Notamacropus eugenii: one gene and its partners. The protein of the gene in region 4 purifies or fractionates together with the protein of the main gene of each other region. This does not show direct contact. Links are inferred from orthologs where the notes say so. Each region holds a gene or a part of one and is shown on either strand. Other genes may lie near its edges. The genes, in order: COPB2, COPE, COPB1 and COPG2.

Region 1 (7,384 bases), on a different chromosome or scaffold from region 4:
AAAATGATTATTAATAACCAAGGATTTGGAGATATACAGAGTTCTCCCTTTTTCTATAGTCCTCATTTCAAAGCTCAGTCTCTTGAAGGATGTTACTGATAATGAGACTGAATTAACTTCCTCAGCATTGGTCAGGTCCCACCTAACCTCACAAGGAATTTAATGTAAGGTGGAGAAGCCCACTGTGCTCCGCTCAGGTTTGGGGGGGAAGGGATAAATTCTTTCATTAGATTGCTCAAGGCTGGGGGTAATTGAGAAGTAAATGACATAATCAAAGTTCATTTGCATAGGTCCAGTCCCTCATCATTAATATTCTTTCTCTTATTACTTGTTAACCAGTCAGAGTTGATTGCCACCCTCGGGAACACCCACTTTTCCAAAGTCACATAAACCTTGAGGGAGCACACCACAGTGACAGTCTGGCATTCTAGAGTGCCACTGACCTCTTTTATTAAAATGTTAGCATTATTATTAAAATGACTAGTTAGCCAGAAATTATGTCTCTTGAACTTTTTAAATGTCATAGGGAGTAGGTGGGAAACTACTAGAACCAAACATAAAGGCATTTTCCCCAAATACGTGTATCTTGACTGTGTCCATGCTATTCTCTTTCAGGTAGGGCCATCAACTCCACCTCTTTTCTATGAGAACTTTGGGCTCTGCCCCTAGCACCATCAAGACTGAGTTTTTGCCTTGTCTTATCTGGATCCAGGCTTCCATCTCATTTCTTATCTCTATACCATATCAGAATGTGTACTATACCTTTCTATCCCCTCTTTATGTACTGTATTCTCTATTAGAATACAAGCTCCTTGAGGACAACTCTTTTTTTGTTTTTATTAATATAGGGACACTTAGCACAGTGCCTGGCACATATTTAACCATCAATAAATGCTCTATCTATGGAAGTGTGTGCATTCTATCTTGTTAAAATGTTCATTTCAACCACAGTGAAAGAACAAGCTTTCCTTTTTTATTGTGTTCAATATCTAGTACATTGTAAAGCTCTTATTAGTTAAAAGTAGCTATAAACTAGGAGAGTATTTAAAGTATGAGTTATATTTATGATGGCCAGAGTAAGCATCCTCTACAAAGTCAGGCAGAAGCACTGTGGGACAATAAACCTACCAATGGTGTTTAGATCATTGCTGAGGGACATTGCCAAAAAAAGATTATGAACTAAGAGTTCAATACCGTCGTCAGTCAAGTAATACCTTATATTTACCTAGTAATTCAGTTACCAAATGAATGCAAGTTTATCTCATTTGATCCCTACAACCCTGTGTGCACAATTCTATCTACATTTTAGAGGTGAGAAAACCGAGGTTCAAAGAAATTGGTTAAGTGAAGTGCCGACAGATGCACAGCTAGTCACAGCAGCCATGCTCCTGACCTGGGGCACTTCTGATTACACCATACTACATGTTTAAAAACCATCAAGTTATCTATTTTCTCCCCAAAGATCATTATCGTTGCTCTTCCTTTGTTCCCAAAGACTGGGAGAGTCTTCTCAAAGCTATTCAGAGATGAAGATTCTATGCTCTGCCTCTGTCAGTCACTTGTCCTTTCCTATGAAACCCCAAATTTCCAACATTTATCTGTTTCCATCAGTGGAATGGATTAGATACGTAACACACAGTAGTAAATGACCATAGTAATCTAGTGTCCCAAACTTTTGGGACAAGAAAGCACTATTTGACAAAAATTGCCGGGAAAACTGGAAAACAGAATGGAAGACTCTAGGTATAGACCAATATCTCACATAGTATACCGCGGAAAGGTCAAAACGGGTACCTGATTTAGACATAAAGTGTGATACCAAAAACAAATTAGGAGAGCAAGGAATAGTTTACTTCTCTGATCTATGGAGAAGTGAAGAATTTATGACCAAACAAGAGACAGAGAGGATTACTATACAATGGATAATTTTAATTATATTAAATTAAAAAGTTTTGGCACAAACAAGACCAAATGCCATCAAGATCAGAAGGAAAGCTGGGAAGAATTTTTTTTTTTTACAGCAAGTGTCTCTGATAAAGGCCTCATTTCTCAAATATATAGAGAACTGAGTAAAATTGATATACCAAGTCACTCTCCAATTGATAAATGGTCAAAGTATAAACAGAAGAAATCAAAGCTATCTATACTTATATGAAAAAAGCTCTAAATTGCTATTATTTAGAGAAATATAAAATTAAAACAATTTAATACAAACTAAAACATCTCACACCGATCACATTGGCTAATATAACAGGAAGGAAAATGATAAATGCTGTGCAGGATGTGGGAAAACAGGGATACTAATGCACTGTTAGTGGAGTTGGAACTGATCTACCAATTCTGGAAAACAATTTTGAACTAGTTTCAAAAGGTTATGAAACTGCATATCCTTTGATCCAGGATTACCAATAAATAGTAGGTCTATAACCAGAGATTAAAAGGAGGGGGGGAGGGGCGATTACCTATTTGTACAAAAATATAGTAGCAAAGAATTAGAAATTGAGGAGATATCCATCAATCAAGGAATGGCTGAAAAAGTTGTTGTATATGATTGTAATGGAATACTATTGTACTGTAAGAAATGACAAGCAGGGTAATTCTAGAAAAACCTGAAAAGACCTACATGAACTTATGCAAAGTGAGCAAAACCAGTACATTGCACATAGTAACAGCATTATTGTATGATGACCAGCTGTGAATGACTGGGCAATGCAAGGATCTGAGACAATTCCAAAGGATTCATGAAGAAAGATGCTACCCCCTTCAGAGAAAGAACTGATGGAGTCTGAATGCAGATTGAAGCAGACTATTTTTCACTTTATTTTCATGTTTTTGTCTGTTTTCTTTCACATGATTAATATGGAAATGTTTTGCATAACTGCACATATATAACATGTCAAATTGTTTACTCTCTCAAGGAAAGGGGAGAGGAAGGAGAGAATTTGGAACTCAAAATTTTGAAAAATGAATGTAATTGGGGAAAAAAGTAAAATATTTTTTAAAAATCTGTCTCTTCTTGTACAAGGAATTTGTATCCCACTTTTAAAGCCCCTGGAAAAATAGTTATCAAACCACAGCCCACATCATTCTCTTCTCCCCCCAAAAAAACCTTTGATAGAATAAATATCAGAGCTAGTGACAGTCAGAGCTACCCCCTATCTTTTACAGAGTCAGAGACTGAGACCAACAATGAGAATGCAAGGTGATTTAGTGGAGTTCCGGATTTATAATATTATAATGTATATTATGCAATAATAACATATAATATATAGTAATTATCACAATAGCTCAGTTACAAAACTTTAATCAAAACTTCGATGGAAAGCACTTCTGATACATTATCTTAGCATCTCACATTAAAGAGGCTGCTCTGGCCTCACTATCTCTGGGTTAGGCTGTTTACTCCTCCCCTCCTTCCCTGCCCCTCTCCCTTCGTCTTAGGTACCCTGTGAAACTTGGGGTTATTTTTCATTCTACTTCATCAGCCCAAAGCTCCAGTGACTGCTTTCTCCTATTTTAGAGGGCCAGTAAGTAGCCCCCCAATTCCATATAATCACTTCACATACCCGTCTGGGTTGCCAAGAGTTTTACAAAGGCACATTTACTTCATAGATATAGTAAGAAAAAAAAAAGTACATTTTCCCCAACACTTGTGGGTAAAGTTTCTCCCTCCCCTCACCTTAGTTCGGTTCCTACACACAGATGAGCTAAGGCTGAGAAGTCAGAAGTCACCAAGGATCTGAAGCAGGATCCGCACCCCCCTTTTCTCTTCACGAGCGCCACCCGCCCCCTCCCGATGCAGAGGTCGTGTGGCCCAGGGCAAAGGCTTCTGCCCTTTCTGGCCATTGATTTTTCTCATCGGTAAAAAGGCAGGGTGGGGAGGAGGAGCCCGGGCGATCTCTAAGATCCCCTCCATCTCAACATCCTCTGCGGGGAAGCGGCAGTCGGGCCCTGAGCCTGGGCCTCATGGGCTTCTTCACAGCCCCGGTCGCTCCACTGGGCCGGGCTGCCTTCTTTCTTAGGGACAGGAACAGGAAGGGCGCCTGGCGGGGCACCAGGAAGGTTTTCTTCCCGGTCTTCCCTCGCTCCTCTGCTCAGGAGGGGCGGGCTCCCCTCAGCCTGGGGCTCCGCGGGGATGTCTCTCCTCCCGGACCCCACGTTCCCTGCACTGCCGCGGAACCTCTGGATCCTGGCCCAATAAGCATGCAATCCGGCTCAGGGAGACCCCCGGGCTCCGGGTGGGTTGCCAAGGCAACGGACGGAAGTGAGGTGTGCTGGGTGAGGAGGAATGTGAACCCCGAGCCCCGGCGCCGCGAAAACTCTCGCGAGGTTAGTCCCGGCGTTCCCGTGCTGAGACGCCAGATCTCGCGAGAGCCGGCCTCCCGGAAGCTCCACGTCAGTCAGTTGGTCAGTGTTCTGCCAGCGCCAGCGTCAACCCCGAGCTAGCGGGCCCCGGGACCCGGCATCGAGCGAGGGAGTTCGGCGTCGCTGACGGAGCCATGGTGAGACTTTGGCCTTGCAGGCTTCAAAATAAACGAAAGCGCGAGGCGGATCGGCGCTGGCCCTGCAGGGGTTGCCGTGGCCAGGGCAGCTCCGGAGATCTCCTCAGGGCCTCCTACGACGGGAGAGGGGGAGGGGAAGAGGGGCCCCGGGAGCCCTGGGCTTCTGCCGCCCGGTCCCCACCCGGCTGTGTGCAGGAGTTACGGGCCCAGGTGTTGTGGGACCACCGATTTCCGAAGGAGGGATGGGGCGGGGGACGGACCGCGAGCGGGAGGCGGGGCGGGCTGCAAGTGGGAGAAACGGGGTGTCGGCTTCTTTCCCTCGTGGGTGAACTCTTTGACCTCTCCGAGACGCAGTGTCCTTATACGTGAAGTGGAACGATAACACCTGTAGCCCCTGCCTCGCGGTGTTGTTCCTAGGACCAAATGAAGCCACTTGGGCACAGTGGTTTGCAGACCCTTAAAGCCCGGTATCACTGTCAGTCTGCTGCTGCTCTTCCTAGAGATGACACCCAGAGAAACCAGGACTGTGCTGACTTAGAGACTGGATCGTAATGGCTGGTTTTCGGGGCGGGTCATTTCTCAGGAGATGAAAGTGACAGTCATTGTTAGCATCAAAGTTGTACATTAAAAGCGTTCATTTAGATGCTTTTCACGTTATTTTCCAACTCTACGGTCATGATACAAAGCTGGAGGTACTTGATCTTATTATACAGCACTTAAAAGGTATAAAGTGAAGTAAAGAATGTCAAACGTTTTTATGTATATAAAGGACAAATTAAGTCTAATAAAATTGTCTCCAAACCCTTTTAACTAGAATTTTATAAATCTAGAAAAGTTGAAGTGTACATTACTAAAGTGTTTTACAACTATATTTTTTAAAAAGTTTGCTATATAAAAATGCCTATTATCCATTCCTTATATTTCTAAAAACAAAAGTTGTCTTTTTAATGTCACTTGAGTATTCTCATTCTCATAAATATCTTTACAAGTATTTGGTAGTGTGTTATTATATTCAGGGTTTCCTCAAAAGTGCACATTTCTTGCCTCTTAGGAAATGTAAAGAAGTCTTTCTGCCAGGTTGAATTATTTTTTTCTTTCCTTTTCCCATCACAAAGATTGATGGACTCAGAATAATTTCGTTATGAAAGAATTTTAGGAAAAAATTAATCTTTCAAGAGGAGGGGATGGAGGTCAGAAAAGGTTAAATGATTTGTCCAAAGTTACACAGTGAATAGCAACAACAGAGGTAGAATCATAGAGTTTGAAGGGATGTAACAAGTCATCTAGTCCTGTCCCTGAATCTCCTCCTACTGTGGCAAGTCAGCATTCAACCTATGTCTAAGCATCTTTAGGTACACAGCATTTAGTACTCCAGGAGACAGTCTACTCCAGTTTTAGAGAAATCTGATTTTTAGGAACTTCTTTGTAAGGTTGGGCTCATTCTATATAATTTTACCCACTGGTCTTTGTTTTGCTCTCTAAAATCACTCACACGATGGTTTTTTAAATATTTGAAGCTAATTTGTGCTAAATCTCCTCTCTTGAACAGTTTTTTCAATAATCCCATTTATGGCATGGTTATGAGTCCTTCTACCTCCCTTTTAGCTTGTCAATTTCCCTCTTAAAATGTAGCATCTAAATATAATAATACAAATGTGGTCTAACCAGTGCAGAGAGACTGTTCCTTTTTGGTTATGGAGATGTTTAAATACCACTTTTTTATGAAGCTTCCCTCAGGATGTCATGTGACATGTTATTTTGTATAGACATCTATGTAATGCATTAATTGTGTTTTATTTACCTATTAGACTATAAGCTTTATGAGGGCATGGGCTTTGTCTTAACTGATCTTTGTATCTTCCTTTGTTATCTAGAAAAAAATAGATGCTTACTGAAAGCCAAGTGTTACTAATGCCCAAGTGGACAAAGTTCCAGGGTAATTGTATAGTCAGTAGCATCAGATGCCGCAGAAATCAAGGAGGTTGAAAACTAAGGAGAGGCCATTGGCAGTTCACAGGTGTTTGGTGACATTCAGAAGAGTAATTTGGGTTAAATGACAAGGGAGGGAGTATAGAGTTCGTGAGTGATGAGGAAGTAGAGGCAGAGATAACAGTTCTTTTCAGGAATTTGGCAGTGAAAAGACTTTAAAAAAAAAGCAAGCCAGGATGTAGCTCAATGGAGCAGCAGCATAAAGAGATCATTTTTTAAAATAGGGGAGAATTAACATGTTTGTAGGTAGAGGGAAAGGAGCCACTTGGGGGAATTGCAGAGGGAGGCTGGAGTGGATGGAATCAAGAAAGCACAGAGAAGTACTAGAAGGTAGAAAAAGTATGTGAAGAAAACAGGGAAAGCCCAAGATAGTGAGGAACGTATGGCAGTGGATGTTTTGAAGTGAAAGGAAGGGAATGTTAGGTTGCTTGAAGTTCTCTAGAGAGGAGTAACTCATTGTCTCCTAAACGATCCTATTCTACTTGGGGATAGCTCTTTTGGTAGGTTTTTTTTTTCTGTATGTCAAGCAGATATCTACCTCTCCGTAACTTCTTATCAGAACTTTTTATTCTGTCATTTTGGGCCAAAAAGAACAAGGCTAATCCATCTTCCATTTGGCCCCCTCTCCCAAGTAATCTTATCCGCCACTAATTCTTGTTTGGGCTAAATATCAGTTATTTCAACCACTTCTCAAATAGCATGACCGAAGCTTTTCATCATACTGTTTGCTCTCCTCCAAGTTACATCCCAGGGTAGCTATAGTGGTGATTGTGATTATTGAATATTAATTCAGAATTTTTAGGATAGTAGAGGACTGAAAAAGAGCAAATAATGTCATTCTAACTTTTCAAAAAAGGGAATAGTCTATATTTTGTAACCTGAATTTGATTTCT
Region 2 (7,564 bases), on a different chromosome or scaffold from region 4:
CTTTCTTACCTCTATGCCTAGAACATACAGAAAGGGTTTATTCAATGTTTGTTGATAGACTGATACCAATGCACAAGTAAATATACATTAAATACCATCACACAAATGATCTCTCCAAAGTTACCAATGGGCCTCTTACTTGCCAAATTCGATGTTTGCAGTCCTCATTCTTCTCAAACTATCTGCTGTATCTAACATGACCTCCCTTTTCTCCTGGATATTCCCTCCTGGTTTTCCTCACACCTGTTAATCATTCCTCTGTCTCCTTAGGGGGCTCCTCATCCATATCACACCCTCTAACTATAAGAGTTCCCTAAAATTCCATAACAGGAAAACAGATTTAAAGCTGAAAGGGACCTCAGGAGCTATCCAGTCCAACCCCCTCCATTGGCAGATGAGGAAGGCTACAAAACTTACCCAAGGTCATGAATGGTCATGAACATGAGAAGTGGGATTTGAATCTGGCTTAGGCCCATTCCTACTCTCAGTAGCTAGGTGATGCCGGGCCTAGAATCAGTAAGAGTGAGTTCAAGTCAGTCTCATATGTCTAATAGCAGTGTGTCCCTGGATAAGTCATTTAACCTCTGCTTACTTCAGTTTTCTTAATCATAAAATGGGGATGATAATAGCCCCTACCTCCCAGGGAGACATCTGTAAAGCACTCAGCACAAAGCCTGGCACACTGTAGGCACTTACAAATGCTTGTCTGCCTCCTCCCTTGGTGGCTTCAACTCTCATGGGTTCACCTGTCACTCCATGCTTCAGTTTTGTATCACCACCTGCCTATTTCAGCCTGGACATCGTAAAGACATCTCAAACACAACATGTCCAAAACAAGACTCCTATTTCCCCTCCAAAGCTTTCCCATTTCTGTCAAAGGCACCATCATTCTTCCTGTCTTCTAGGTTCATAATCTCAGTGCTTTCTCTGACTACTCATTCTCCCTGACCTCACAGATCCAATTAGTTGCCAAATCTTCTGTGTCTGCCTCCACAATGTTCCTCTCCTCTCTACTCGCACAGCTACGACCTTCATTCAGGCCCTCCTCACCTCATGCCTGTGTTATTGCCTAAAAACTAATGGTCTGCTAACTGGTCTCCCTGCCTCAAGCCTCTCCTCATTTTAATCCATGCTACACACTGGCTAAGTGCATATCTGACCACATCTCCCTCCTCCTCTCAATCAACTACAATAGCTTCCTATGCTTTTGGAATAAAATAAACGCCTTCTTTAAAGTCACTTTTTACGCCCTTCACAATCTTGCCCTAGTCTTTCCATCCTCACCAGGTGTGACTCTCCCTCCCAAACTCTACAGCAGCCACACCGCTTTTCTGTTGCTTACACATGAAACTCAATGTCCTGTCGCCTGTGCCTGAAACGCAATCCCCTACATCTTCACTTCAGAGATGTCCTCTCTTGCATCAAGACAGTTCAAGTGCCACCTTCTACATGAAGCCTTTCCTACCCTACACAACTGACAGAAGCCTCCCTGGCAAACTGCCTTGTAAAGAATAAGTCTACATCTATCTTCTTTATATTCTGCATTACCTTAGCTCTTTATGAAGCAGAGCTTATTTTAACCACTGTATTTTTTTATCCCTAGAACAGTGCTTGGCACACAGTAGACACTTAATGTTTAGTTGGCTTTTCAGCTGTGTCCGACTCTCTGTGACCCCATTTGGAATTTTCTTGGCAAAGATAGTAGAGTAGTTTGCCATTTCCTTCTCCAGCTCATTTTAATAGTTTAAGTGACTTGCTCAGGGTCACACAGCTAGTAGGTGTCTGAGACTGGATTTGAACTTGGGAAGATGAGTCTTACTGACTCCAGGCCTGGCACTCTATCTACTGAGCCACCTAGCTGCCCCATTTATTTAAGAAATATCTATTAACTAATTAATACATAACGTAACACTAAGTTCCATCAAGAGAGAGAGTTCTAATAATGGAGGGAAAAGAAAGCCCTTGTTTCAGAAGTGATGTCTGAGCTATGTCTAGGGATTCTGTGAGGAGAAAGGGGAGAGAGGGAGTATGTTCCAGAAATGAAGAACTGCTTGTGTAAAAGTACAGAGGGGTTTAAGGAACAGCCAACACGGCAGTCTGAGTAAAGCAGAGAGCAGATGAAGGAGGCTGCCTTCCTTAATCTGGCACCTACCACCCTCTCTAGTCCTATCTCAATTTACTCCCCTCAATGAAACCTCTGCCAGAGCCAAAATGAACAATTCTTTGCCCTCCAAACACACATCACAGTTTCAACCCTCCCTGTCTTTACTTCAGTTGCTTCCTATCCCTATGCCTGTTCTCCCTTTGTCTGCTAATTTCTTACCCATCCTTTAAAGCTCACCTCAAATACAACATCCTCCAGGAAACTGTTCCTGATAGCCACTCTACTCAATTGTTAACAACCTTACACCCATCAGAACTCATACAGCCCAGTCATATATACTGTGTGTTATAGTTATCTGTGCACATGTCTCCTCCCCTAGCTAGAATATAAAATCCAGTAAGTCGATAAGCATTTATTAAGTGCCTACTCTGTGCCAGGCACAAGAGATACAAAGAAAGACAAAAAACCGTTCCTGCCCTCAGGGAGCGCAGTCTCATGGGGGAGGCAACATGCCCACAACGATGTACAAACAGAATACAGACTGTATAAAGCAGAGATGATCAATTGGGGGAAGACATTAGAGCAGAGATAATCTAATACTGCATCTCCTCCAGTCCTAGAACAGTGCAAATATTTGCTGCATTGTATAGCTCTATTGCAGGGCAGCTAGGGGTACAGTGGGTATAGAGCACTGGGCATGGAGTCAGGAGGATCTGAATTCAAATCTAGCCTCCAACACAGTTACTGGTTGTATGATCCTGAGCAAGTCACTTAACCTTGTTTGTTTCAGTTTCCTCCTCTGTAAAATGAGCTGGAGAAGGAAGTGGCAAACCACTCCAGCACCTTTGTCAAGAAAACCCCAATGAGGTCATGGAGAGTCAGATACACCTGAAATGACTGAACAACTGTAGTCTTGTCTGACCTCAGACAGCTAAAAGGTGCTAGATCTAGATCTGGATCCCATTTCTCCAAGGCTTTTTCCCCATCGTGCATGATACCCTTTGTTACAATACTCACAGTGGACGTATGGAAAAAGAGTAACAGATTTTAATTTACAGTAAATGTTACCTCACTGGAAAGGTGAACATGGCCATACCTGGTGGGCGTTAGCACAAGACAGAAAATGCCATACGGGTCTTCAGACAACTTCTGCAGAATTGGCAGCACAAAGGCAGCAGTCTTGCCGCTGCCAGTCTTTGCACATGCCATGCAGTCTCGACCTAAGACAACAAAAACAACAATAATTGTGACCTTTTGCACACAGGGCACTTTACCAAGTGATTTTTAAATACTTTTTCTAATTTTGTCCCTGTGAGGTAGTGCAAGTGTTATTCGCCCCACCTTCCAGAGGGGAAATAACTTTTCCAGGGCACCCCAGGAAGTCTGCAGCGCAGGCAGACATCCCACAGGACAGAAGCCAGGTGGGTCTCCTGATTGTCGCTCCAGGACTCTTTGCAGGACCAGCTGCTGCCTCGGATAAAAGAGGCCTGGAGAAACCTAAAGCCCATGAGGGAAGAGGGGAAGGAATCAGGAGGTGGGAAAGAGACGCTTTCTAGAGCAAAAGGAGGGAAAGCACTCGGCACAAGGAAGAATCCACAGGGTACCTAGAAGGATAAAGGGCAAGAACTGTGGGGGGGGCAAAGGAGGCAGCAGGGAAGGAGGAAGGTAAATGGGCGGGGGAGGCTGGAGAACTGAGGGTTTAAATGAAATCACCGGGGGAAGCGCTATATAAACGTCAGATTATTATTACAGGGAGCAGGGGAGATGGCAGAGAAAGAGCACGGAAGCTGACGCACGCTGGAGGTGGAAGAAACTGGGGAATGAAAGGGAGGTAGGAGGAGAGGGGATGGAAGAAGGGAGAGCCGAGAGAAAGGAAGCGAGGAGGATGGTAAGAGGTAACAATTCTAGCGCCCTGTAGTCTCATTTTATCCATCCAACAACCCCGAGAGTAAGCGCTGTTATGAATCGACGTTTTACAGATGGGGAAACTGAGGCAGGGGAGGAAAACGACTTGCTCAGAGGCAGATTCGCTGGGAGTGGGGCGTGGAGGCGGGGTCTTCTCATCGATCGCCACGGTGGGGGCGGGGGGGGGCAGCTCACCCTCCAGGATGGCGGGGATGCAGTTCTGCTGCACCGGCGTGGGACGCTTCAGGCCCAGCTGTTTACACTGCGCCACGAGCCACGACGCCAGCCCCAGCTCCGCGAACGCGGCCATGGCTCCCCCGGCTCCGCGGCGGCGGGCTGGTCCTCCCCTGCTGCTCCTGCTCCTTCTCCTCCTCCTGCTCCTCTCCCACAGGTACCCACGCCTGCTGCACCCCAGCACCACAGCGGCCCCCGAAGAGCTCCCCGCGCGCCGGTCCTGCCGCAGTTCCGGAGCGTCACCACGTCCCCGCCCAGACACGCCTCCCTCCTTCCTCCCCCCTCCCCAGCCCCGCCCCTTCTAGTTCCGCTCAAGGCCAGAACTACGATTCCCAGAGGGCCGTGCGGGCGCCGGCTTGCGTCACTTCCTCCTCGTCTCTGTCGACGTGTCGGTAACAAGATGGCCCCTCCGGCTCCCGGTACCGGCCCGGCCCCCGGCGGCCCAGGGGAAGTGGACGAGCTGTTCGACGTGAAGAACGCCTTCTACATCGGCAGCTACCAGCAGTGCATCAACGAGGCGCAGCGCGTCAAGGTGCGTGCAGCGGGCCGGGACGGAGGGCAGGGCGGGAGGTCCGGGGTCCGCGGCGCCTTCCTCCTTCCTCGGCCCCGGCCTAGACCGTGGTCAGGGCCGGGCCCGGGGATTCCTAGCCTAGCCCAGCCTAGCCTAGCCCAGCCCAGCCGCCAGGGCCCTTTAGGAGGGATCTCGTCCAAATCCTCGCGCCCCATTTTGCCGACGGGCAAACTGAGGCCCAGAGGGCGCGGACGGCCGATACAGCGAATTCCTTCAATTCAGCGAATGTTCATGTAGCGCCTCCTACGTGCTGAGCCCTGGGGAGACCCACGACGATGGGACCTGCAGACAGGGTCCTAGGTGCCCAGGCCAACCCCTTCGTTTTACAGGTGGAAGAAACTGAGGCTTCAGAGCCGCTAACGATTTGCGCGAGGTCAGCAGGTAGTAAATAGGAAACGGAGATTCACAGCCAGGACCCCGGACTCCAAATCCAGCCTTCTTCTGGGGGGCGGGGGCAACACACTAAAACTTTGAAATGTTCACCCGGGCCAAGAAAAGGCAGAGACGAAGTGCTCTAGGTAAAGGAGACCTCGAGAGATTGTCCAGCCCCGCTTGTACCTGAATGGTCAAGAATCTCCTCCCGCCCCCAAATTTTATTTAACAAGGGGACATCTGGCCTGCACAGGGAGATCTCTAGTGATGGGCACCTCACTACCCGCCGAGGAAAACAACTCCACCCTTGGACGGTTCTCATTGCTAAGAAGCCGTCCCTCCTCCCAGTTAATGGTCTTTCCGCAAGCCTCTCTAGGGAAGCCTGGTTAAGACTAGCTATAGATAGTCAAGCTTCATTAACCTCATCTGGGACTGTTAAAGAACCTGAGTGGGCTGCCTCAGTAGCTAGGATGGGAGGTGTGGTCAAAAGACAGAGTAGAAATTTTCTGGTAGGGCTCCAAACTTAGATGAGTGTAAACTTGCTGAAAGAGACCTCTAGGTCCAAGGCTGAACCTTGGAGTTTTCTGTCTTCCCCCCACTCAAGGCTTTCTCTCCTCCTGAGAGGGGAGGTGGAAGGGCAACTATGTATTTCCCTACCCAAAGTAAACGGGACCTTTAAATAGCTAAATTGTCTACCTTGGACAGCTCTTTGATCTCAACTGGGTGGAGCCTACCATGAGAGGGGTGTCAGGTAGGAAGTGGTCATTTTTATCCATTAAATGGTAAGTTTTACAGATGATTAAGAAAAAGTTGCCTTGGACTAGTTTTTGGGAAAACCTAAGCTTGGTGCCCTCCAAAATCCAGGCTCCAGTAAGGTATCTTCATAAGGCAAACTTGTAAGTATCAGGTCCCCAGCCCTGTTTTCAATTTAGGATTTTCTACAGGTTTGTCATTTGAACATTTACCAAATTCTTCCCAAAGGTGGCAGGTAGAAAGAAATAGTTTCAAAGGAGCCCAATAGCAAAGGTAATGATTTACATGTTCAGAACACTCTACAGTTTAAAAAAGGGGGAAGGAAAGAACCTTCACATACATTTTGATTTGATTCTCGTAGGAGCCCTGTGAGGTAGGTAGCAGAAACATTATCCTCATCTTTGAGAATAAGTTCTGGGAGGTCAAAGACTATTTCATTTTTGACTTTTTATCTCTAGGATGGTGCCTTACATTCTGAGTTGAATGAAGAAATAGAGGCTTCATCCACTTTTTCTGTAGGAAATCCTATAGAAGTCATGGAACTTGAGAGTTGGAAAAGGCCTCATTGTCCAACCTATATATGAATGGAATCTCCCCAATGACATGCCTGAGAGGCAGTGATCCAGCCTCCAAGTAGAGGGGGAATCCTCCCCTGCTCCAGGCAGTCCATTCTGCTTTCTGAGAGCTGTCATTGTGAGAATGTTTTTCTGACCTCAGTCCCAAATTTGCTTCTCCAGAATTCCAGCCCATTGCTCCTAGTTCTACCCTCTGATGCCAGCTAGAACAACGCTCGTCCTGCCTTCACGTGACAGGCTTTTATGTACTTAATGATCTGAATCTTCTCTTCTTTGGGCTAAACATGCCCTAGTTCCTTCTCTCTGCAGACTTCCCTGTGGAATCTCAGTTAAGACTGACTGTGGGACATCCCTATGATGTCCTCAGAGTCCGTGACATGGATCCAAGGCTCTACACCATCCTGGTTGCCCCCTAATTGGATATAGTACTCCAGATGAAGTCTGATGAGATCAAAACTATGCCCCTCTTAAGGCAGCCCAGATTATCCTGGCTTCTTTTGGCTTCCACAGCACACTGCTAGCTCCTGTAGAGCTAGTGATCCACTTAAACACCCAGATCTTTTTCAGATCAGCTGCTTTTTCTCTGTGCTTCCCCATCTTATGTTCATGAAGCTGAATTTTTGTGCCCACATGCAGGTTTCCCATTTGTTTCAGTGAATCTTATTAGATTCAGCTCAGTGCTCCAGCCTGTTGAAATCCTTTTGAATCCTACTTGTCATCGGAAGTGCCAGCTTCTTCCAAGCTGGGTGTCATTTGCAGACTGGATGAACCTGCCACTTAGTCATTTATCCACACCATTGATCATTGATAAGACTCAGGGCTCCTTCTGCCGTGCTGACGCAGAATCACTGGCAGCCCCTGCTGAATCCATTTAATGTGTTATTTTCAATGCATAGCTTTTCCACAAAAGTGGTAAGAGAAATTTTATCAAAAGCTTTGCTAAAATCTGCATAAACTCTATCCGTTGCCTTTCCCTTATTCACTAGAGACCCTGTCAGAAAGGAAAGTGGGATTAATCCCACGTTAATCAAAGCCGTGCTGGCTCTTTGT
Region 3 (6,893 bases), on a different chromosome or scaffold from region 4:
AATTTGCTGAACTAAAAGGGAAAAAGAATATATCATCACCTTCATTCTCAGCCCTCAAATAAGGACGACAGGGCAGTGAAGCTGGAAATCTCTTGACCAGCTGACAGGTGTAGTTTGGAATAGAGGGTCTGGGGTGGGAGGAAACACCCCAATTATCTGGGACCCATTCCTTTAAAAATTGGCATTTTTTCTAAAGGAAATAGCCATCATTCTAGTGAACATCATGGAAAAGTAGAATATGGCACATGAGCTGTGAAGGAAATTAGGTTGTCTGAGAGGCAGAGGTAAGGTTGGGAACATTTAACAATCCTGGGGAACAGATTCTGCCATTCCTCAGTCCATGGATATTTGGGTAGTTAAGAGTTTTTCAATATTATAAATAACAGTACTACAAATTTTTTGTACTCTTGGGTCTTTTCCCTTGTCATTAACTTCCTTAGAGTATGTTCCCACCAGTGAGATCACTAGGTGAAAGGATATAATCTCTAGTTTCTGTTCTTAAACTTGTGACCCACCCCTTATCACCACTGTGCGAAGTTAAACTCATTTTAATTTAGACATAATAAAACACTAGTAAGAAAGTCAGTCTTGTAAAAAAAAAAAACCATATGGCCCAAAGACCAGTACCAAAGACGGGGATTATTTGCTAGTTTGCCTATAATAATCACTGACGTCTAAGTAGTTTTATAGTTTAAAAAGGATTTTGCTTACAACAACCTTAGGAGGTGGGCGGTACAGGTTTTGAGAGTCCTATTTTTGAAATGAAGAAACAGGTTTTAGAGAAGTGAAGTCAAGCCAGCGAGTGTCAGGTGAGTAATAGCACCACTCCCATCTCCCCTCAGACTAATGGCAAACATCCCAAGACCCTGAACTTAGGAGCCTTGGGAATAGCTAGCTATGCTTCCAGCCCAGTGCCCTCAGCTATTTTCCTGGGAAACAGCTCCTGTGGAGAACGGGTCAACCATCCCCACCTTCCGCCAGCCTAGCTGAAGCAGCAAGGGCCCTTGAGGGAGAGATAGGCAGCAAACCACCACCCTGATCACCATCTCCCCTCAGGCCTCAAGGAAACAGCCCAGAATTCTGAGACCAAGAGCCTTGGGATCAACAATTCCCTCAGCCATTGGCCCCTATGAGATGCAGCCTGGTCATTGTTCCTCCTATGGTCACAGCTCCTGCCTTACCGTGTGTTGCTAGCTAGCTGCGTGTTGCTAAGTGAATTGACCTTTCTGGATCTTAGTTTTCCTCATCTATAAAATCTATAAAATGGGGATAATAATATCACCTCCCTTACAGATTATGAAGATGAAGTGACATAAAGCACTTTGGAAACCTATGTAATCTATGCAGCACTGCGTTCATTATTATTATTATTATTTATATGTAACATATTGACTAGCATGGTGGGAAGATTTGAAACTGACATTTAAGAATTGGTTGAAAGTACTGGGCTAATTTAGCCTGAAGAAAAGATTTAATAGGATTTATCATAGCTGCTCATCAATACTGTCTGAAGTTATTTTGCCATGTGTTATAGGGAATGGATTTAGGGGTTTTTTGACCCCAGAGGGCAGAATCAAAAACAATTGTTGGAAGCTATCGAAGCAAGTATTTAAATAAATACTTCCTAACAAAGCTATGCCGAAGGGAAAGGGACTACCTTGAGACATGATCTTCCTTGAAGGTCTTCAAGCAGAGGTTGAATGACCATTTCTCAGAGATCTTAGGTCTTAGAGTTGGAAGGAACCTTGGAAATATACCTTGGAAATGACTCCAACTGCCTTGTGAAAGGAGGGCAACAAGGTGGCACAGTGGAAGGTGCACCAGGCCTCAAGTCAGAAAGACCTGAGTTCAAATCCAGCCTCAGACACTTACTGTGTGACCTTGGGCAAGTCACATAACCCTGTTTGCCTGAGATTCCTCATCTGTAAAAACAGCTGGAGAAAGAAATGACAAACCACTCTAGCATCTCTGCCAAGAAAACCCCAAATGGGGTCAGGGAGAGTGAGACATGACTGAATAACAACAATGATAGGGGAAAAAGTATGAAAACTTCCAGAATTGGAACAAATTTTGAGTGTTTTCTTTAAAATCTCAAATGAGTAGACTTGGAGGATACGATAGAATAGGTAATAAGTACCTGTTTGATAATAAGATGACTAGAAAGGGCTGATACCTTGTGGGAAACAATAAGTTTTGTTTCCACAAGCTTTGGGTGATCAGGATTGTGACCTAGCACGGTTAGGTCAGAGGTCAGAAACTTGTGCACAGGCTTGACGAGCTGTTTGTGGCAATGGACAGTGTCAAGGGACATCCAAAATTTGGAACAGTATAAGAAGTTTCCATTATTCTGAATGTATTGTAGTCTTCCTATAACCCTACATCCAGCCTCACTACTCCAGAGCTATCTGAATCCAGGAACCAGATATTCATCAAGATGACTGGAGATGACCCAGGATGAGGCAACTGGGGTTAAGTGACTTGCCCAAGGTCATACAGCTAGTGAGTGTCAAGTGTCTGAGGTGAGATTTGAACTCAGGTACTCCTGACTCCTGCTGTATCCATTGCACCACCTAGCTGCCCCTAGGAGAGAAAAGATAAAACTCTTGGGAAAGGCCTTATGTAGTAGAGTGCCAAGGAAGAAAGGGATGCTAGGCACCTTCCAAGAGACTGCCTGGGAGGGCACAAAAGCTTCTCAAATTATTCTGATAGTTTCACATCTGCCAAGGGAATAAAACCTTTGCCTGAAAGCATTAATCCAGTGTGATCAATCACTGGCAATTCTCACACAGGGTCAGCAAGTCTGATGGCAACAGAAATATACTCCATGCTGCTAATTCTGTCCTGGGGAGGACGGTGTTGGGTGCTGAGAAGCTGTAGTAATAGGAGAAGGGAGGGCAGCACGTATCAGGCCAGGTGAGCCCTCAATACCACCAGCAGTCCTGGAGAGACTCATGGAGCCATGACTAGGGAATGCTTACCAGAGATAGAGAAAAGCAAGATCTGACCAAGTGGTGAGGCTGTCTCTAGCATATACTAAGAATTTTATGAAAATTCTTTGAGTTTTCTACTAAAGCAGGAAAATTCCAGCTATCATGAACCTTCTTGCAACAGCTACTGACAGGGTACCACTGACACAGTAAGGCGCTATATAAATGTTAGTAATTACTATTATCCCTATTATTTCACTCAACCACTGTGCAGAGCCTCCAGGACAGGGACCATCTTTGCCTGTTACTGTATCCCCAGTGCTTAGCTTAATGCCTGGCACATAGTAGGTGCTTAGTAAATGTTTAGGAAGTGACTGATTGATTGCTAAGGGCAGAGGGTACAGATATGAAAAACGAAACATTCTCTGCCTTTGAAAGAGCTTACTGTTACACATCCAGTAGCAGAGAAGAATCTGACAAGATATAAACAGGAAATATAAGGCTTGTAGTTCTGTTGTGTGCCACTCTCCCTGACCCCCTTTGGAGTTTTCTTGGCAGAGACACTGGAGTGCTTTGCCATCTCCTTCTCCAACTGAAGAGGACCCTGAGGCAAGCAGGGTTACATGACTTGCCCAGGGTCACACAGCTAGCTGTACTGACTCCAGGGGCAGCGGTCTGCGCCCTGTGCCGCCCAACGACACGATACATTGTGTCAATTATATGCTGTATGTTGCATTACGTTACATTATCGTTACTCTTGCTATTCTCAGCTCCGCTCCAGGTCTCTCCGGGGCCCGGAGCAGGGCTACGCCGCCAGGATCCCAGGGACAGAGGCGCGCTGAGCCTAGGGATGCGTAGCCAGCCTCGGCACCGCGCAGCCGCCCAGCAGGGGGCGGGGATGGGGCGGGGGCCGAGGACGTAGGAGGCGGGCCTAGAATGTGGGGGCGGGGCCTAGGACGTGGGAGGCGAAGCTGAGCGGCGGGAGGAGGCGTGTCCTCTCCGGGCCGCCGTAGACACTAGGTGGCTTCGGTCTTCATCCCTTCCACGTCAGCCCGGGACTCTGAGGAGCCGGAGCCGCCGCTGCCGTTGCTGCCGCCGTCACCGCCCCGGGCCGGGTAGCGGGTAGGAGTCGAGGCTAGGCCCGAGTGGGGGCCGCGCCGCTCCGCTGGGAAGGGGCGGGAGGGCGGCCCTCGGCGGGGTCGCGTCCCTGGGCCTGCTCGGCCCTGTCCTCGGAGCCCTCCCCCCAGGCCGGGCAGGGGGCGGGAGTGGGGGAGGGGGGACGCCTGTCGGGCCTCCGACCCCCGACCCTGGGGGTGCTGACACAGCCCGGGAAGCCGGGGCTTGACCTGTAGCCCTTCCTGCCTGGGCCGGAGCCGCCCCACCCAGCCCCCCCTCCCCCGTTCCACCTTGGCTTGCCCGTTCCCCACGGCCATCTCCTGACCCCGGGCTTTTCCCCCGCCCGTCCCCGCCGCCCGGAATGCTCTCCCTTCCCTTCTGTGCCCCCGGCTCCCCTCGAGGGGAGGCTTTGCAGGGCAGCTCTTCCTGGCGCTCCCTGGCATTCCCCTGGATGGTGTTTGCAGGCAGCGTGCCCTAGACTGGCAGCTCCTGGAGGAGCTTTTATATCCCCAGCGCCCGGCATACCACAGGCGCCTAATAAATGCGCGTTGATCGACTGTCCCTGTCATCCCTATAATGATGTCCCATCATCACAAAGATATCCTTTGGCCCTTTAGCTCTTAGAAATCTCCCCAAAACCACCCTGAAGTGGGTAAAGAAAAAGGGGGGATAGGCAGAAGAAAAATTGCCCCCATTTTACCTTGGAAAGGAAATGTGAGGGACCTGGGGTCTCCCAGCTTGTAAGGAAGGAAATGCAGGTGTCTCCCAAACCCCCTCAGTGGCCTGGATCCTGATGGACTCTGCAGGATGGGGGGGCAGGGTCTGGCCTTGTCCCCAGCTGCTGGGCACCTCTCTGCAGCCTAATCTGAGGGCTGCCAGTCTCGAAGGCTAGACTGGGCGGAAACTTGTTTTGTACAAGGGATGCCTGGCGCACGTTTAGGTGACCCTGTATTCATTGCAATGAAATAACTGCCTTGGAATCTTAGACTACAATTATTTTTAAAAAATGGAGACTGCCTCCCCACCATGCCCAGGCTGGGAGGGCATTGGCTGCACACAGGCTAGTCCTGGCCTGGATCAGCCCAGAGGCTTTGATTTTGCTACTTTTCCAACTTGGGTCACTTTGTCCTCTCTTTAGGCAGCCAGGTGGCTCTTCCCCCTCCCTCCCGAAGGCTCCCATATTGGTACTGATGCCCAATTGACTTTAGTGAGCTAAACATTTCCCAACTCAAGCAGTACAGCATCTTCAGCTTCCCCAGTCATAAGATTCACAGACATGCGATGCTATGCCAGGCCAATCTTAAGATTGTTTTAAAGTTATTAAGCAGACCTGAGTGTATTTTCGTTGCCCATGTTAGAATTATGTTTGTTGACTTATCGAAACTTTTAATAAGTAATGATATCTTGTACTTATTCTAGAATTTCTGATACCTGTCATCAAAAATACTTGCACTGTGGAGTACCCATAACCAAACACCATGACTGCTGCAGAAAATGTATGCTATACGTTAATTAACGTACCAATGGATTCAGAACCACCATCAGAAATTATCTTAAAAAATGACCTTGGTAAGTGAAGGATGGGAAACCTTGACATGAACATATTTGTTTATGGAGGTAATTTATAATTAGAAACATAGATTTTTGTTTGATTTCAATACACGAGATCCATGGTTTTATCTTTGTGTGGCCCGCCATTATCAGCATAGCTCACAATCCTACTTAAGGTTTATTTCGTGTACCATCTTCATGAGTTGTGGGACAAAGTTTGTTACACTTTGGCTAATTTTCTGGGAATGTGTTTTTCTGAACCTTGCTAAGCTGGTTTTCCAGTGATAAAAAGCAGTTTTTCAGAACTTTTCTCCTTGGTAAGCCAGAGCTTGAACCTTGTTGACACAGCCTTTGTGAATCTATGGTCATCATCACAACATGAAGAGGCATAAAAGAAAGGTTAATGTAGGGGATTTTAATCCAGAGTTTTTATATGAAGAAAACCGTGTATAAATAGGTTAGTAAAAGTGCTTCTGAATATTCTGTGATTATCTGTCACTAAAAATGAAAACCTCTTGTGCTAAGACTTTGCATGTATTATTCTTTGTTTAAATTTCCAGCACCTACATGGTACATTGCATATATCAGCACTCACCAAATATTTTTTAAATTGGATTGAAATTTGAAAGTAGGACGTGGTCTGAATAATGCAAAGAGAACATAAGAGATGGGCTGTGCGATGAGACATTTGCAAGGTGCTTTGCACAGTGCCTGGCACAGAGTAGGAGCTATGTGAATGCTTGTTCCCTTTCTCCTCCCAAAAAACACAACCTTGATTTTTAAAGGGCTTCTCTTCTTATTAAGAAGTGCTGGGTAATTGATGGTGTGTGTACAAGGTTGAAACTGTCTTGGTCTCTTTGTGAGACCCCTGTAGGGTCTTCTTATATTTCTTTAGGTAAACCAAAGGAGATGGACTTCTCACCTAAGATCCAAAGATTTAGGGCTAGAAGGAAAGGTAGCAGTAACAATAATTATAACAGTAAGTGGCATTACGCAGCAATTGACAGAGAGAGAGAGAGTGTGTGTGTGTGTGTGTGTGTGTGTGTGTGTATGTGAGTGTGTGTGTGTGTGTGAGGGGGTGTCCGTGGGTGTAGGTGTGTGTGTGGGTGTGAGGGGGTATCCATGGGTGTGTGAGTGTGTATGTGTGAGAGTGTGTGAGGGGGTGTCCATGTGTGAGTGTGTGTGTGTGTGTGTGATTTGATCCCCAGTGAAACATTGTTAGATGGGCAGCTGATAGGTATTATTATCCCTTCCTATAAATAAATAAACTAAGACTTAGGTTATCTATAGTAATACAAA
Region 4 (6,890 bases):
CTCAGTACTCCTATCTTCTTCATATATGCATCACTGCTCACTAGAACAACAGAAGAGTCCATGAACTCCCTCTTCTCACAGAACAGCAGGCGTGTCCATGTGAAAGGACACCAGCCACTGCCCCCAGACCCACTCCTCATATTTCCCACAGAAACAGCAGGTGTATCCATGCACTCAACCACAACCGCATCCATCAAGTCTCAGACAGGACCACAGTAGTCAGCCAATCAGAAAGCAGCAGCACCAGGATGACCAAGCTGGATGTGGACCCCAAAACAATAGAAGGGACTTTCCCTAAGTGGGCACCTATGCAGAAATAGCAAAAGCTGTCCTTTAGATGAACTTATGACATAGAGAGGTTTATTATAATATCATTATCATACATACATAACCCCTTATGGGTTTTTTTCTGTAGCATTGTGAGTAATCGCATGTGCAGTTCCACTGAGGTTGGGAGCCCTCCCTTATTATCTAATCCCTTAATAAACTCCTCCTGCCTTTTTAATATTCATAATTTTTGTTACATAACTGCATCTTTACCCTATAAAAATCCATCTTGCTTTCCTAAAGTTGATAGTTCTTCTTGGAACTTAGCCCACTTAATGAGAGGCACCAATCTCAATAAATGCCTATACTTGGATGAGAGGTGTTTTGACTGAATTCTTTGAGATGGTTCCTCCACAACACATCCGTAAACCACAACACTATCATTTTCCCTTCTTCAGCCACAAGAACAACAGAAAATCACAACTCATGCTGGTCTCCCGCTGATGAAGAAGAAATTAAAGACTGAACCCAGGACTCCCTTTCCTGTAGCAATATTGGAGGATGCTATACCTAAGCGGGAACAGTGGTACAGGTGAAGCCCCAGCACTTTCCCTTACTAAGCCTCCCTTGTTCATGTGTTTGAGCACTGTGTTGGATTTGGAGCCTGGTACAGAGGCCAACTAGAGAGAAAGGTGACTCTGGAACTGCTATACCATATAGCACAGTAGTGGAGAGTGCTGGGCCTGGAGTCAGAAAGACCTGGGTTCAGATCCAGCTTCAGACACTTACTAGCTTTGTGACCCTAGACAAGTCACTTCACCTGTTTGCCTCAGTTTCCTCAACTGAAAAATAGGGATAATAATAGTACCTACCTTCTAGGATTGTTATGGGGATCTAAGGAGATTTATAAAGCACTTAGCACTTACCCTAGAACATAATTGCTTAATAAATACTTGTTACTTTTGTTCAACCTCCTTAACTACTTCCCTTCCTTTTCTCCTTCTTCCCTTCTTTTCTTCCGCCCTCTATTCCCCTTTCCTTCCCACCTTCCTTTATGTGCTCATAAGTCCTATAGGGCCAACTCCTAGTAACACCCTCTAAGATTCCATAAACCTCTTTTCTTTCAAACGCCATTAATCATAGGCTCCTTTCCTCTCTAAAACCCAGACAATGGAATTAACTTTTAACTGACAGATTCCCTTCTATCATGACCCTTGACTCTGGCTCCACTAAATGAATTTTCCCTGTTAAGGTTTTCCACCAATGCTGATTTCAAGGGTGAAGCCAAGTTTTCAAAGTTCCATGCCCTAAAGAAGCAGCAGGAAAAGTATCCTGAACTTTCCTTTGTTCCAGATTTTAGGTCAGGTAAGAAGAAAGATGTCGAAGTTCTCCTCCCTCTCTATTAAAGCATTGTTTTGGGGGCTGGATGCAAGTAAACACTAGAACTTGTTTAGAGAACAGGTAAAAAGAGGTTTGATGAATGTCCAGAGTAAACTTGCCTGTCACTTGTTCATACACAATGGGGATCAAAGCAGCAGAAGATCAGGTTCAAATCCCAACTTTATGACTACTACCTGTATGACCTTGGACCAGTTAACTCCATTTGTAAAATAAAGGAGTTGGACAAGATGGCCTCTGAAAGTCCTTTTAGCAGTGTGAAGTTGCTATGGCGTTGGACTTGGAGTTAGAAAGTCTTGGATTCAAATCCCAGCTCAGATCTTTACTGGCTGTGTGACCACCTGCAAGTGACTTAAACCTTTTTGTGCCTCAGTTTCAAGAACTGTAAAATGAGAAAGTTGGACTTCTTGAATTGTAAAGTCCTTTCCAAGCTCTAAACCTATGATCCTATAATCCTTTCACCTCTAAATCTCCTTTAATCTCCAGATTCCAAAGGCAAACTAAACAAACCTTTGAGATTTCCCTCTTTGCTCAATGAAGAACAATGTTCACACAAATCAGTGGCTGTCATAGAATTGAGGATTCATCTAATTCTATTTGGCCTCAGAGAGATGAACTTGGGTTGAAGTTATAGAAAGCAGATTTATGAGTAATGGAAGGAAAAATTTCTTTACAATTAAAACTGCTCAAAAGTGGAATGGGAGTTTTCCCCTCACTAGAAGCCTTCAAACAAAGGCTAGAGAAGGACTCCTTGGGATTCTGTTTCAGGTAGGGGTAAAACTAGACAGTCATTGGAGTAAATCTTTTCTGATTCTTAAGACTCTGTGGTTCTGAGTGGAGACGTATAGATAGGCAGAGGGGGAAAGAAGGGCAGTCCAAGTGGGTTCAAAGCTTGGCTGTCCCCCATGCCTGAAACACTCCTTACTTCTGCCTCCTCCTAGCTGACTTCCCTCAAGTTTCAGCTAATGTCCCACCTCCTGCAAGAAGCCTCTTCCAGTCCTTCATCTTAGTGCCTTCCCTCGGAGACTGCCAAATAATTTATCTTGTCTCTATCTCACATGTACTTAGTTATTTGCAAGCTGTCTCCCACATCAGACAAGAAGCTCTTTGAGAACAGGGGCTGTTTTCTGCTTTTCTTCGTATCCCTAGCGATGGTTGGGGATACACAGGTACAGAATGCCTGTCATATAGTGGGCTCTTAATCAGTGTTTTTTGACTAAGGGCAGAGGAGTAGAACGTACAGAGAAAGGGGGAGGACAATATGATCTCAAGAATATCTCACTGATGTTGACTGACAAATCATGGAAAAGAAGGGGGTAGAAATGAGCCTCATGACTTGGGAATACAGAGTGCCTCCTTCCTCCTAATGCAGAGTCAGTAAGCATTAAGTGCCTTCCATGTGCTAAGCGCTGGGGATATAAAGGGAGGCAAAAGAACAGCCCCTGTTCTCAAGAAGTTTACAACCTAACGGGTGGAGGACAGCGCGCACACAAATACAGACACAGCAAGCTATGTACAGGATAAATCGGACAGAATGAGCAGAGAGAGGCACTTAGAATCAGGAGGGCTGGGAAGGACTTCTGGCGGGAGGTGGGCTGGCAGCTGGAGGGCAGCATCCCGGAGGTGCAGGGACCTTCTCCTCGGTCGGACGGTCCAAGCGCCCCACTCCCGGAGGCACCACCTTCTCACGGCTTTCTCTGCTTGCCTGCAGCCGCAAGGGAAGCGAGGAGCAGACGGAAGATCTCCGTGGTAACCTGGGAGCCCCTGACCCTCGCGACCCTCCTGGAGGAGAAGCCCACGCTGACCGTGCCCTTGCCAGGAGAGAGCCCCTTCCGCTACGGGAGGGCCACGCAGTGGTTCATAAACACGACCGCGGTTCCTGACTGAGTCACGCGAGCTCCCGAGGCGCGGCACCCACTGCCACGGTCGGGCCCGCACTCGGGGCCTCCGCGTGACTAGGAGCGCCAGCCCAAAGGACCTCGTGTGTCTGTCACTCCGCGGCTCTGCAATGGGAGCTGTCGGTGCAGAATCGACCCACTTGTGCTCTCTATACGCGTGTTCGAGTGCATCTGTGCGCACGGAGGGAAGGGAGTGTTAGCACGGAGGGGAAGGCGTGACTACCGGCAGGGCGGGGCGGGGCTGACACCGCGCGGCAGGGGAAAGGGGCGGGGTTTCTGCTGGAGTGACGGGCGAACTGCCCAGCCAGCTGGAGGGATGGGGGCCGGGCTTCCGGTGGAGCCTGTTCCTCTCGGCGGTGTCGGCTCCGACGGTTCCGGTTGGCCTAGGGATCAGTTGTCGCGGGAGATGATTAAAAAATTCGACAAGAAGGACGAAGAGTCTGGTACACGCAGGGACCTGGGGAACGCCTCCGACCCCCACTTTCCAGCGCTTCCTCCTCGTAGTGCGGGGGCGGAGGGGCGGGGGCCGCGCGTCTTCCTCCCCCTGAGAGCTGGACGGAGGGAAGGGGGGAGGAGCGCGCGGGGCTGAGAGCGGCTCGGAGCTGGAGTCCCTCCTCCTCCACCAGGGCGAGTCCGTCGCGTGGCCCCTCCCCCAACTCGAGACCCTGCCTTCCCCCTTCTCCCCCTCCGGGTCCGGCCGCGTGCGCCGCGCCTGGCCTGCCCCACACCACCCGCCCCGCCCCTCGGCCCCGGCGCACGGGAGCCCTCCCCTGGCCGGCCCTCGGGCGCATGCTCCCGCTGCGCTGCCCCTCGCAGCCCTGCCCCTCCGGCCCCGGGGGTTGGTGGCGGAGAGGAGGCGGGGCCATGGCTGGAGGCGGTCGAAGTGAGCAGGGGAGGGGGCGAAGGGGCGGCGTGGGAGGGGGTGGGGGGCGAGGGTAAGAAGCGTGAGAACCCCCGGATCTCTGAAACCTAGGGCCGTTGCTCCTTGGTTCACATTCTCGGGGGGAAGCGAGAGTTCGTACACGCCCGGGGCCCCGACTTCCCTCGTGGGCCGTCCAGCCCAGCTCCGGGCTTTGGGGCCGGGGAAGCTGAGGGTGGGAAAATGGAAGGTTTAGGAAGGAGGGACGGGATCGCGGCTGGATTTGAAGGGCCCTCTCGTGGAAGACGGATTAGAACCTCCCCGCTTGCCCTCAGACCCAAAGGTGTCTCTTGTCAGGAGTAACTTGGCGTCGGTGGAGAGGAGTTGCCCACGATCAGGGCTGCCCCAAGTGGGCCAGGGCCGGCCTAGGACACGGTGGATCTCCCTCTTGGGGGACGTGGAGGGCGCTGGAGACCCCGGCCCCCAGCTGAAAGGGGGCAGACTCCAACACCTGGTGGCAGAACGGCGCCTTTGACCTAGACTCCCGGGGGGAACTCAGGCCTGCATCTTGGCTGGAGCGGAGGCGGGGCCTCCTGACTCTGGGAAGTTTCCCCTCAGTTTTCCTTGTTGCAAAGTTACTGAAATGAGTACTTAGTTAAAGAGCTCAAAGTGCTACAACAGTTTGATGCATGCTTGTCACAAAGGCCCATGGAGTTGGAAGGGACCTTGAAGCCCGTGCAGTCTGTCATGAGTCTCATTGAGAAGACCCCCTGCCAGCTAGACCAACTCCTTCATTTTTAAGATGAGAAAGTGAGATATGAATAGCGACAAGAAGCTCACGGATCTCACTCTCTTCTTTTGGATGCCTTCAATGGATAGGAAGTGCTTTCAGTCTACACCTAGTAATTCCTACTTATTTGATAGTTCCCAGTTTTGTCCCAGAAAATCTCAGAAGAATTTGTTCCAGGAAACTTGTTTTATAGCTTGGGCTTTCAGCCCCTACCACCTTACCCTAGGGCTATAGGGGCATACATTTAAAAAATGGAAGGGATATTAGAGGCTATCAAATTCAACCTCCTCTTCCTCCACGCACACTTTTTACAGAAATAGAAACTGAGTTACAGAGAGGTCACACAAGTAAGAATCCCAGCTAGGATCTGAACTTTTGTGTTCCTATTTCAAAGCCCGGCACTCCACCATTTACACCATAATATAATTCTTATTTAAGTCAGATTTTTGGTAAGTGTTCCAAAGTCGGGAGGTATGTCAGCAGAGCTAGACATAGAACCAAGGTCACTTCATTTCATCTACCAGCAACTTAGTAATGCCTGCCATTGTGGTATCCAGATGCTCAGGCTCTTATAAAAGTTTTCCTGAATTTGTTTCGATTTTTAAAATTTTGTTTCCAGTGTTGCTTAATTGTTGGTAAATGAATTTGCCTGTGGCTAGTTCTCAATACTATTTTGTTTTCTTTTTTAGGGAGTGGCTCTAACCCTTTTCAGCATCTGGAGAAGAGTGCTGTTTTGCAGGAGGTATGACTTAGAAGTATATTGTCTTTTATGTTTGTTTTCCCCAGAGTGGGATCAGAACATCTCTAGGAGACATTGGAGACATTCAGAGTTTATGTTGTAGTTATCATGACTGAAAAATGTTTGCCTAGTATTGAATTAAAGCATATAATGAATGAGATAAAATAATGCAGCCTAAAGGAAAAAAAGAACAATGTTTTGTCATTGGATGTTAGAAGAACATAAATATGCTGTGATGCCATGAAAATTTTGGTATGAAAGATGTCAAACAGGTACTTTGTATAAAGCTGCTGACAGAAGTTATAAATGTTAAATTTCATACCAGCTTTTTGAGTTACCTTAATATTGTGATTCTTATTTTGAAAAATGAAATTCTGAAATTAAACCGAAGGGAAAGAGTGGAATAGTATAATATAGAGACATATTTCCTAGTTCATTTTTCTAATATAATAAACTAAATGCTTCATTTAACTAATATTACTTAGACTTTATGATAAAAGAGTTTGACAACATCATTAATTTGTTGAAGACAATTTATTGAGATTTGTGATTGAGAAGGAAAAGGTACTATGTATTTGCTTTGCTCCCCCAGGCTCGTATCTTCAATGAGACTCCTATCAATCCAAGACGATGTCTACATATTCTGACCAAGATCCTTTATTTACTGAACCAGGTAAATGAAACTTAGGGAAGCAGTTCTTTCTGGGGCTCAGTTTTCCTAATCCATAGAATGAAAGGGTTTGACTAGATGAACTTTAAAGATCTCTTTGACTGCTTAAGTCCTATGGTTTTTTATTCTTTCAAAATTTGTCGTTTTTAAAAGTAAGCTTTTTTAAAATCCAGAAAGTTTATTTTAATTGAATAACAAGATTGAAAAGTCCTTGAGGGCAGAGACCATATTATGTACCTTTTTGGTATTCTCCCATATCAGTTTATCAA

The links.
Region 1: the proteins of COPG2 (region 4) and COPB2 fractionate together in Homo sapiens (co-fractionation; 4 studies listed by BioGRID and IntAct, with this or other methods). This does not show direct contact. The link is inferred for Notamacropus eugenii from reciprocal best matches to the Homo sapiens genes COPG2 and COPB2.
Region 2: the proteins of COPG2 (region 4) and COPE purify together in Homo sapiens (affinity purification with mass spectrometry; 5 studies listed by BioGRID and IntAct, with this or other methods). This does not show direct contact. The link is inferred for Notamacropus eugenii from reciprocal best matches to the Homo sapiens genes COPG2 and COPE.
Region 3: the proteins of COPG2 (region 4) and COPB1 purify together in Homo sapiens (affinity purification with western blotting; 4 studies listed by BioGRID and IntAct, with this or other methods). This does not show direct contact. The link is inferred for Notamacropus eugenii from reciprocal best matches to the Homo sapiens genes COPG2 and COPB1.

Annotation. Positions count from the first base shown.
Region 1 is NC_092876.1:327,604,190-327,611,573, forward strand, and holds the start of COPB2 (coatomer subunit beta'), read left to right. Parts: upstream 1-4,366; 5' UTR 4,367-4,499; coding exon 4,500-4,502; intron 4,503-7,384. UniProt on the Homo sapiens protein: The coatomer is a cytosolic protein complex that binds to dilysine motifs and reversibly associates with Golgi non-clathrin-coated vesicles, which further mediate biosynthetic protein transport from the ER, via the Golgi up to the trans Golgi network.
Region 2 is NC_092875.1:66,442,492-66,450,055, forward strand, and holds the start of COPE (coatomer subunit epsilon), read left to right. Parts: upstream 1-4,552; 5' UTR 4,553-4,643; coding exon 4,644-4,775; intron 4,776-7,564. Other genes in the region: probable ATP-dependent RNA helicase DDX49, read right to left, coding at 3,201-3,324, 4,205-4,319. UniProt on the Homo sapiens protein: The coatomer is a cytosolic protein complex that binds to dilysine motifs and reversibly associates with Golgi non-clathrin-coated vesicles, which further mediate biosynthetic protein transport from the ER, via the Golgi up to the trans Golgi network.
Region 3 is NC_092877.1:37,925,349-37,932,241, reverse strand, and holds the start of COPB1 (coatomer subunit beta), read left to right. Parts: upstream 1-3,873; 5' UTR 3,874-4,049; intron 4,050-5,462; 5' UTR 5,463-5,521; coding exon 5,522-5,612; intron 5,613-6,893. UniProt on the Homo sapiens protein: The coatomer is a cytosolic protein complex that binds to dilysine motifs and reversibly associates with Golgi non-clathrin-coated vesicles, which further mediate biosynthetic protein transport from the ER, via the Golgi up to the trans Golgi network.
Region 4 is NC_092874.1:119,742,488-119,749,377, forward strand, and holds the start of COPG2 (coatomer subunit gamma-2), read left to right. Parts: upstream 1-3,874; 5' UTR 3,875-3,879; coding exon 3,880-4,006; intron 4,007-4,337; exon of another isoform or gene 4,338-4,352; coding exon of another isoform or gene 4,353-4,446; intron 4,447-4,542; exon of another isoform or gene 4,543-4,665; coding exon of another isoform or gene 4,666-4,765; exon of another isoform or gene 4,766-5,239; coding exon of another isoform or gene 5,240-5,324; intron 5,325-5,901; coding exon 5,902-5,954; intron 5,955-6,543; coding exon 6,544-6,624; intron 6,625-6,890. UniProt on the Homo sapiens protein: The coatomer is a cytosolic protein complex that binds to dilysine motifs and reversibly associates with Golgi non-clathrin-coated vesicles, which further mediate biosynthetic protein transport from the ER, via the Golgi up to the trans Golgi network.